Linked DNA regions of Arabidopsis thaliana. The protein of the gene in region 1 binds, or shares a complex with, the protein of each later gene. Each region holds a gene or a part of one and is shown on either strand. Other genes may lie near its edges. The genes, in order: TBP1 and PAD4.

The links.
Region 2: TBP1 (region 1) and PAD4 share a complex: the UniProt entries of both Arabidopsis thaliana proteins name them as parts of the nuclear protein complex.

What each region holds. Positions count from the first base shown.
Region 1 is NC_003074.8:4,378,107-4,382,959, reverse strand, and holds TBP1 (TATA binding protein 1), read right to left. Parts: upstream 3,168-4,853; 5' UTR 2,907-3,167; intron 2,648-2,906; 5' UTR 2,644-2,647; coding exon 2,567-2,643; intron 2,475-2,566; coding exon 2,387-2,474; intron 2,159-2,386; coding exon 2,087-2,158; intron 1,989-2,086; coding exon 1,938-1,988; intron 1,805-1,937; coding exon 1,760-1,804; intron 1,672-1,759; coding exon 1,579-1,671; intron 1,474-1,578; coding exon 1,372-1,473; coding exon of another isoform or gene 1,309-1,371; exon of another isoform or gene 1,266-1,308; coding exon 1,192-1,265; intron 1,092-1,191; coding exon 1,091-1,091; 3' UTR 736-1,090; downstream 1-735. Other genes in the region: DIN4 (Transketolase family protein), read left to right, coding at 1-2, 72-167, 245-322, 415-501, 585-620; AT3G13440 (S-adenosyl-L-methionine-dependent methyltransferases superfamily protein), read right to left, coding at 3,613-4,372, 4,546-4,622. UniProt on the Arabidopsis thaliana protein: General transcription factor that functions at the core of the DNA-binding multiprotein factor TFIID.
Region 2 is NC_003074.8:19,429,202-19,435,055, reverse strand, and holds PAD4 (alpha/beta-Hydrolases superfamily protein), read right to left. Parts: upstream 3,962-5,854; 5' UTR 3,491-3,961; coding exon 3,200-3,490; intron 2,099-3,199; coding exon 764-2,098; 3' UTR 606-763; downstream 1-605. Other genes in the region: OEP7 (outer envelope membrane protein 7), read right to left, coding at 5,087-5,281.

The DNA.
Region 1 (4,853 bases):
ACGTTAGTTTTTATGTTTTGCACTTAATTAGTCTTTGGCGATACAGATGATGAAACAAAATGTTTTTGCAGGAAGGAATATCGTGTGAATTGATAGATCTCAAGACTCTGATCCCTTGGGATAAGGAAATCGTTGAGACCTCAGTGAGAAAGACTGGCAGACTTCTTGTAAGTTAAGCTTCTCTGAGTGAGTATCATTGTCCTAAGTCTCAGAGAATAAATGTGTTTGCTTACTTCGGTTGCAGATTAGCCATGAAGCTCCTGTTACAGGAGGCTTTGGGGCCGAGATCGCTGCAACTATAGTTGAGCGTTGCTTCTTGAGGGTAAAAACAAGTCATATTTGTCTACAGCATTATAATTTTTGGTAACAATGTCTGGTTTTCATATTTGCTTACATGTCTGGTTACTTTTGCAGTTAGAAGCACCTGTAAGCAGAGTTTGTGGCCTGGACACTCCTTTCCCTCTAGTGTTCGAACCTTTCTACATGCCAACCAAGAACAAGGCAAGTTTTGTTTCTGGTCTGTATCTTATACATATATTTTCGTTTTTGTTGCTAATTCTTCCCTGGCTCACAATTTGATGCAGATATTGGATGCAATCAGATCCACTGTGAATTACTAGCCCATCTTAGCATTGTACACATGATTCTCTGTCTCCTATCTTCGAAATAATTATTGATGCTGGTGGTTCAGACATGTAATGGATACTGTAATCACCACTTTTGTTATTTAATCTATGATCTTGAAACTCTCCATCTTTGTTCACAATCTTGGCCAATCTCTATGATAAACAAGACTTTAGGGCTACACACTGAGTTAAGGTTCTACTTGTAACATAAGTGGAAATGTGAGGACACTACAGCAACATACATGTAAGACATATCTTGGAAAGAAAAAGAAAAAAAATAGAACCGAAGAATTGTCTTTAGAATCTCCATTGTGTATATACAATGTTATATTATGAACCAAAACACAAGGTGAGAGTCTAGCTACTGTGAAAGCCTTTGTTCAAGGGCAAAATTCTCAGCAAGCTTTAGCAACTCCAAGGGGCTAAGACCGCACAACTAGTTTTGCAGGGAACAAATCCGTGACCCTATAAAAGATAAACACAACAATTAGGTTCATGCACGAATAAATCGAGAAATCAAACATTACTAAGAAAGATGAGGAAAGTTGACGGGTGTGTTACATACTATTGCTGTATCTTTCTGAATTCCGAGAGCACGGGGTATATATTCTCAAAGGCTTTGTAGGTCTCATCTCTCATCTGATAATGAGTGATCTCAGGATTTTTTCAGGTGACAGAAGAGCTAGAGACTAGAGAGAGACATAACAAGTATTATCACAAAACCTAAAGAGAAGTGAGATATTACCTTGGCTCCTGTTATTACGATCTTCCCAGAGACAAAGATTAGAAGGACGATTTTTGGGACTTTCATCCTATAAATCAGCCCTGGGAAGAGCTCGGGCTCATACTAACCACACGCCAATATGAGAGAGAGGTAATGGCCATCAGCACAACGTTTTTATCTCTAAAAGTCGGTCCTTGACTACTAAATGTATAAGTTAAGATCACTCACACTTGAGAAAGCAGCGTGAGAGTAAGCAAGACCTTCAAGTCTTATAGGGAATTTGACATCACAAGAACCTACAATATTCTGAATCTTGAAATCCTGCAGGATGTAACAATTGAATATATTTAGTATAAGCAAAAGTAAGAAAAAAAATGTTGGATAGGGAAAAGGTTTAAAGAAATTGTACCTTGAATTTTGCAGGGAATCCCAATTTCTGCACAATCCTAGCATACTAAACAATAAAACATCTCCTATTAGCATAAACAAATGAGGAGCAAATAGCATACTGCAATTATTGCTAAAGTAAAGAAGAACAGATCTATAAGAAAGTTAAATTAAAGAGGTTAAAGATAAAAAAAATCTACCTTTCTAGCAGCCATCTTCGAAAAGTCCTCGCTCTTAGCTCCAGTACAGACCTAATTGGAGATTAGTCGCCAAATTCAGAAGAGAATTCAAACCAATGTAATTAAATTTCAGAATTATGAAAAAGTATTGCCAACCAAAATAACTATACCATTTTCCCTGAGGCGAATATTAATGCTGTAGTCTTCGGTTCTCTGATCCTCATTATCACCGCAGCAAAACGCTGGAAACATAAAACACAAGAGGTATTACATAAGACGAGCTTAGCTAAGGCAAATTAGTTTAGCAAAAGCCAAAAACAGATAATATCTTAGATTCTAATTAATCAGTACACAGTATATAGACCAATCAGATCTCAGGTAACAATAAGGTCAACTCAAGGAGAGAGTACTCTTCCAAACAACTTTTCTACCGTTTATTAAAACAAAAAGTCACAATATAATGCAAATACCTTGGGATTATATTCAGCATTCCGAGCCTGCAAAGCTATGGCTTTAAGATCTAGCTTGCAGTCTAAGTTCACCGTGGAGACAATGTTTCTGAAACAAAACATCAAAGATGTCAACAGGGGTCAAACAAACACTTAATCCCAAGAGACAAAAAACAAATACGAAGGCACAAAAGAACTCACTGAAGAGTAGGAACAATCCCTGAAGGATGCTTGCTAAGATCAACTGGATTACTCCCTTCCAATCCTTGATCAGTCATTCTTCTATAGTTACACAAAACCAAAATCAACACAATCAAAATAAGCAATAGCCAGAAAATATAATAGACACTAGACACGATCCAAGACAATATGCTTAAAAGTCTTATCAGATAGACTTATCATTCAAAAGGGTTTCAATTATTTGAGAATACAGAGCCAATTTTAGATTTCATCTTCCAAAACAACGAGACTTATCCTCTTAAGGTGATGAAACTCATAAGATCTAATCGAAAAAACTCAGGAAAAGGATTAAAGGTCAGACCTTTGGATAGCGAAGAAATCCGAAATCTAGGGTTTCGTAGCTTTAAGACGAGAAGGAAAGATTCGAGGGAAGAGTTTGGGCGAAAGGAAGCCGAAGAATTGAGAAAAGGAGAAGCCTTTTATACAAAGAATTGAGAATCGAAGAGGGAAAAAGATTTATAAATCGGTGCTTATATAAGGGGAGAGTGAATTTGTTTCTCTCGCTTCTGGTTTTTAGATCTGTGAGAGAGAGGAGGTCATCGACTTGCGTTTCGGATTTGGGATCCTTAAGCCCCTTTATACCTATATATACATACCCATGCTACCCTTGACCGTCCTTGTTACATCGAGGGTAATTTTGGAAATTTATGCGGTAATGCTACGATGACGGCTGTCTTTCGGTTTTATGTGAAAGTCCACTCCTTTTCGGCCACGTCAGCTTTAGTGTTATAACGCTATTATATTTTTGCATATTTAGCGATTTAGTGAACATTTTTTTTCAAGTAGAAATTTATAATTTTTCATTGATTTTTTCAAATCACATAATGTGGAATTGAAAATCAAAATTTCACATCAGTTAAAATCCACTAACCAATAACCCCACTAAATCAAATCACTGTTACGACTACACCACCAACACAAAACATGATTTTCATAAAAATTAAAACACTAGAGAATTCTTGGTTAAACAAAGCATGCTTATGAGATCTCTAGCCATCTTTGTAGTATCAGCGCCATTGTTTCTCCATAAGCGAAGATAAGGATTTCGAAAACTGCGAAACAAACGATGATGATGATGTCTCTTTGTCCTGGCTCTCCTCATCCTTGTCTCTCCAGAACTTTAGGATAACGAGATTCTCCTCTTCTGTTGATCTCTGAACTACGATTCTCGAAGCATAACCTTTCTTTCTCATCATCAGACAAATCTCTGCTGGGAAATTTGAAGTTAATGTCACTAAGTAGAACCATCCTTTCTCTGATAGCAAAAGATCAACCACAGGCAAGATTTTATCGATGACTGTCCGGCCATTTTCCCCTCCTGCCCAAGCAGAGGCAATACCTTCCATTCCAACTTCATATTCAGGTGTTGGCACATAAGGCGGATTCACCACAATCACGTCGACTGAGCCAGCAAGTCTCTTCTCTAGACCAGTAGCTAAATCTGCGCAGATAACATCAGCATTAACTCCATGTGCTTCTAGAGTTTCTTTTGTCACTCTTGTAGCTATCGGGTTAGTGTCAATGGCGAGATAATGAACACCAGGAACTTCGTTTTGAAGAAGAAGTATAAGTGAAGTTATGACATATCCGCTTCCGCATCCAATCTCCATACAAATCTTAGGGTTGTGCTCTATAAGGTTGGTGCGATCAGCGAGTAATGCATCAACTAGCGCAAATGAATCATCACATGGTTCATAGACCTCACGATGCGAGCTTACAAGACGGATAGCAGCAATTCTTGGTGGCATCTTGTAAATGACTTGACTACTAAACAAACAAACAAAAACCACACCATTACAAGTTAGAAGGTTTTAACTTTGAGAAGGTGTATTCCATATTTCAAATATAAACAAGCTTGCAGTCTAAAGTTCACCATAGACATCAAACAAACACTAACTCTTAAGAGACTAAAATAAAGACAAAGGCACAAAAGAACTCACTGAGGAGTAGGAACAATCCCTGAAGGATGTTTGCTAAGGTCCATTGGATTACTCTCTTCTAATCCTTGGTCAGCCATTCGTCTAAAACAACAGACAATCAAACTAAGCAAAAGAACTCAGAGAAGATAATTGCCACTAGACACGATCCAAGACCACAAGAAAACTTATGCGTAAAAGTCTGATAAGATAGCTTCATCAAATGGGTTTCAACTATTTGGGAATACAGAGCCAATTTTAATTTCATCTGCCAAAACTACGACACTTTTCCTCTAAGCTATAATACCGATACGAGAAATCATATCTGAACG
Region 2 (5,854 bases), about 15 Mb from region 1:
TTTTAAAATTAATAGAATGTACTTACAATCATATTAAGTAAAATATTCATATCAATAAGTACTAAACCATGAGTTATCTATATTGCAACATTTTCTATTCACATTATATTCGCGAGAGGACGATGAATATTTGGCCAGAGTCGTTAAGAATCAGAACTTGTAGATAACGAATCATAGATAGTCATAATTATATAATAGTATATAGTATGAAAATGGTATGTAAGGTATGCGTAACGATCTGTGAATAGAAACTATAGAACGAGAAGGTGAAACAAGAAGACACAAGTTTTGAAGAACAAGGACTGTCTCTATTTGTCTACTTATTTGACTTGAATTTATTTGATTTATTAACCCACAGAAAAATGGGGATTGGAAAGGAAAATCTGAATGGGATAAAGAGCTTCTTGGATCATGTAAATATTGGCAATCTCCAAGAATTCTATGTAGTAGGTCTTACGTTTTTCTATATATTTGTATTCTAAAATTCCTGAAATTAGATCACCATCACACTACATGTTGGTTTTAGAGTAATAGCTTTACTTCTCACCAAAAAAAAAAAAAAGAGAGCAATAGCTCTACATGAGAAACTCTTTGCACATTGCACAAAAAAAGAAACTCTTGCAAAACTTGTTGAACATTGACGATAAATTTTGTTTTAGAATATATAGTAACATTCATCAGAAAGTCTTGCATAAACATGATGAACAACAATGATACAGATTGTTATATAGCATATCAAACATTCGATTTGCTATTAGTCCTACTAAGTCTCCATTGCGTCACTCTCATCAACAACCATCTCAATTTCATTTTCATAACCCATTTTGCACTTGAACTCTTTCAGATTCGCCTCCCACACACTATAACTCGAGTTCTTCGCTTTAACATCCAAAGAAACCTCCTTCTTCGTCACCAATGTATTCGCATAACTCTCGAATGGAACAATCTTTTCCCGTAACAAAGATCTCCTCTGGGGATCACTACTCTCTTTTCTCGCCTCATCCAACCACTCTTTTGCTTGCTCAAGCTTAGCCCAAAAGCAAGTATCTTGCGTTGTGCTCGCGTATCTGCTTCTCACACACTCCTCAGGCACTTTAACTCCTTTCTGCCATTTATCAATCACCTCATACCTTTTAGGTCTATTCCCCTCCAAGTAATGCCCGCCAGTCTTTATATCTCTGTTTTTGTAGAAATTCGCAATGTCGAGTGGCTCGGCTAAGAGTTGATAAAATTGAGATGCGTAAATCCATTTCTTTCCTAAATGAAAATCAAAAGGTAACTCATTCGTCTCCACCATTTTAATCACTGTGTCCCAAAACTTAGCTAGTCTTATGCGACTCATGTTCACTTTAAAGTCTCTCTTCAACGAATATCGTTTGAAGAAATCGTAGTAACCTAGCTGCTCTTCTGATGCATCGCAACGATCTTTGTACCATTGAATCTCGAGTCTTGCTGGCAAGACACTAGCAAGCTCATTGGCTAACTCAGCTGACCTCAGAATAGGAGCCCGAACAATTCTTGTAGCTGTTTCTATACATTCTTTGACTAAAACGCCACTTGTGTCATCGTTAGAGAAACCTAGAGCTTCAACGGCTAACGCAACACCAGCTTGGTAGCTATTGTCGGGGATACTCCCACCAAGAAAGCTTCTAGATTTAAGAAACATGTGTGAAAGTGTGAACACATAGTGTCCGTACCTCTGATGTTCCTCGGTGTTTTGAGTTGCTGTGGTGTTGAGGATATTAAACATCAGACGAACAGAACCAGCGTTGTCTAGACAGACACCTCCTTTGTCGGAACAGAACAAGTAAGTTCCAAAGGGCCAGAATTGTTCATTGCTGCTTCTAGGAACGAGGTCGTGGATGGAGACCACGTGGCAGAAGTTGTGTGCTAAACGTGATCGTGAAATTGAGGTGGAGAGAGATTGGTTTCCGAGCAGAGGAGAGCCAAAGGTGATACAAAAGACGCGGAATGACGGCGGAGAAGATTGAGATAGAAGCCAAAGTGCGGTGAAAGCGGCCAATGCGCCGCCGGTTGAATGGCCGGTTATCACCACCAGCTTTTTACCTAACAATTCCAATTCCAATCCTTCCTTGATCTGCACGTTAATGCAGTCGACGTTACTGTAAATTGGTTGACTAACAAGAACAAAACTGATTATAGATTACCTTCCTTCTGAGTGTACAATTTCCTCTAATAATGTAAACTGATTTAGAGACTAAATTTGCCAATTACTTGGTTTAACCAAATTTGAATAAAAATCAGTTAAGACACCTCTCTAGACTTACCATTTTTACAACTTATATCTACATTAATGGTCACTTCTTGTTTTTTCTACTCATCAAAACCAATAGGAACTTGTTTTTGTTCAAGATTTTCATATCCTTAGAGACAAAACAAAAACTAAAAGTATTCGACGAAAAAGGGAATAAAATACATGATGGTGACACAATAATCATGGGTTAAAAACTTTTTGAGCGCACATTTATAAACTTCGCCGAGGTGTGTTAAAGCATAAAGCGTAAAGCTACCAATTCCATTAACATTTTTTGTTTTTTTTGGTGTCAAAAATACCAATGACGTTTCACTCACTAATTAGTAAATTTTTTAAATCACTTGGGCGGACGGACGTGATGGCATACAAACCAAACTTTCAATTGACTTGCTTATGATATCCAAAGGTCGCGACAATGACATATTCCAAATGGTGGATTTGGAATAATTGTGTCCACGAATCTTTTTAGAATTTCTTACAAGAAAATAATTTTTATTTATTATCTATTGTCTATTGCCTATTGGGGTAGGTGGTGGTGATAGTTTATAATAATCTTTTAAAAGGACAAAAAAAACCTCCATTTGGATTATAATTCATCAAAATTCAGAGGACAGAGATATTTAAATAAAAAATAGTAATGATCATCAGTTCTACTAAAAAGTACTAAAATACGTAAAAAAAATAGTAACTTTAATAGGTAAAATTCGTTTTCGCAAATCCAAACGAATAAAACTTATGATAGAATTTTGTTTTTTTTTAAAATCCTTTGTGAAATAATTTCCCATATTAGCATTTAATGATTTTTGTATTTTTCTCTCGAGGTATTATTAATTGAAATTCAAATATCCACATGCCTTGAAGATAATAAATAGGTTAAATTGCATCCAATAGAAAGAAAAAAAAACAGAGGAAGAGAAAACAAACCTTTAACTGAAGAAAGAGTTTGAGTATGGCAGCGTCGACCATAGGTAGAGGTTCATCGGAGGATAAGCCGGGGAAAAGAACATCTCCGGTGACTGGCAAGCCCACAAGATTCCCCAACTGAATCATCGATACCGCCGGTATAGCAACGTATGTAATCCCGGCGATGTCATGGATCTTTATACTCCCGTTGCAATTTGCGGTGTTGCATGAACTCCAAGAATCGGTAAATAAAGGAGTCGATATCATTACCGAAGCTTGCAACTCACTCGTCTCGAATCGACAATCGTCCATGATTGGATATCGAGTAGAGAGTTGCAGAACGATGATGTTTATGAAGTTGTAAATATATTACAAGCAAAAAGAAATTATCTATGTATCTTCTTGGCTTGTTCCTATGTAATTTCTTGGTTTTGGTCTTTGCTAAGTCGTCTTCTTCAAAGTCTCTTACTTTAACATCATAATTTAGTAAAATTGTACTGGTTTTATAAAATAATAATAAAGAAATGCTGTGAAAGGTAGGTCCATTCTCATTTTTTAATCATTGTGTGTAGAGGACAAAAAAATATGTAAATATATAGTAGAAGAAAATGCGAATCAAAGCATGTGATCCTATGTAATCGGAATGGTTTAGACTTGAGCATAAATTGACAACTTTTGATATGCAGAAACTTTGGTAAGAGTTTATCTATCTATCTTTCATGGAAATTGCAGAGAAATCAACCTACATTTGACTCAGACATTTTGAAGTTTTTTTGGCTAAGCTTTTAAAAGGAACCAATTACTTTCAGTTTCAGCTTAACATGATATAGTTATACAATTTGGCCCATATAAGTCCTACAAGTTAGACCCACCATGACTTGAGGAGATTTTTAAGTTGTGGTCTACCTCTACTAGAGAGATATAGATACTTGTTAATGAATTTGATAATTTACTGTTTGGAAAGGTTTATATCTAATTTAACAAAAAAACAAAGCATTGAAAGGTCCATGCCATTGTCATCTTTTAATCTCTGTTTGGGATCTTTGTGGAAAAACCTAGAGTACAAAATGGGGCAAATTATCAAAACAAAACAAAAAAGGTTTGAAGAAGAAATATCTGATGATTAGGACTTAAGCATGTATTAGAAAACTCTTGCCTTAACAAACTGATAATGATAAAAGAGATAATCTGAATCCTAAATGTCAATGAAACTATCCAACCGGACAATAATCATTGCAAAGCTACCATCTATAGTAATTTTCATGTAATTTTCTGGTTTTGATATTTTCCTGAATTGGAGTAAATATTCAAATTAAACAATGAACTTCTATAACCAAGTCTCTCCATTAGAGACTAGTAGTACATTTTCTTGGTGTTTTCTCATATGATGAAGTCAGTCGTCGTCCAAAGTTTTCTCAACTAAATGATGTTAAACAATCAATCTGACACATCTTTGTATCACCACATGTTATCGTCTCCCTATACTTATTTAGCTAATCTGCTTTATCTATAAAGCAATCTTGTAATTGTCAAGTTTGATATTTTGCTCTAACATGCTTCTTTTCAAGAGATACGTATAATCGAATCATAACTTAAAACAATTTAAGTACTTATCGGATTCCTAATCTCTTCTTCCACCTTAATAATACAGCTCGAAACTTTATACAAAATACGAAAAACGGTGTAACAAATCATGTATGAATATTGATTAGATTAATGATTCTGTTATGCGATTGAACTACAATAACAGATTCAATATAGCAGACTTTTCCAAAAATTGATGACAAATAAACGATCATGACTCAAAAGAAATTGCTCAAACTGTTATGATTAAGAACACATGGATTCATCAGTTACATGAAATGGATTGAAATCAGTAAATCTCTTTAATCTGATAAAACCCTAATTTTACAAACCCTCTTTGGATGTGGTTGCAGTAGCGGCGGTGTCGAAGTCATCGGGGTCTTTGGTTGGGTCAGATTTGTCGATTGAGGAGCGGAATTTATCGAGGAAAGGCTTGAAAGCGATCTCTATGGCTAACCATCCTAACGCCATCGCTGCGACCACCACAGTCGCCTGTTTCGCTCCCGAAGTTTTTCCCATCGCTGCGTCGTCGTCTTGTTCGCGTGTCGGTGGTATCAACCGATGGTTTAAGATCGGGAGATGGGTTTTACTAGGATGTTTAAAATGGGCCGGTTTGGGCTTCTCATTGGATAAAGATAGTTTGTTTGTTAAACTATGGCCCAACTTTTTATCCGTCTATTGGTTAATTAATACAAACTTTTTATATAATTGTAAATATAATTGAAAGGATCCCTATTTTATTTTCTTGGGAATATATATATGGAAAAAAACAATCAATAGAATTAGATAAATAGTTCAATATATCAACAATTTCTTTTTTGTTAGGATAAGGAACTTTTACCTTTTTTCTAATATAGTTACAAATTGTGTTTTTTTTTTTCTTAATTTATTATCAAATTTCTTTTTTACTTATATATAACCTCCTTTTTCATATAGAGTTATTAACTTTTTCATTTTCTCAGTAAATGTATTAACAAATTTAGACTTAATACATGAAGACATCTAATATTTTTATTGATATGTGTCGTGAACTCGTGACATGTTAGTTAGTAATTTTTATAAAAAAAATTTAGATAGGTTAAAATTATTTGA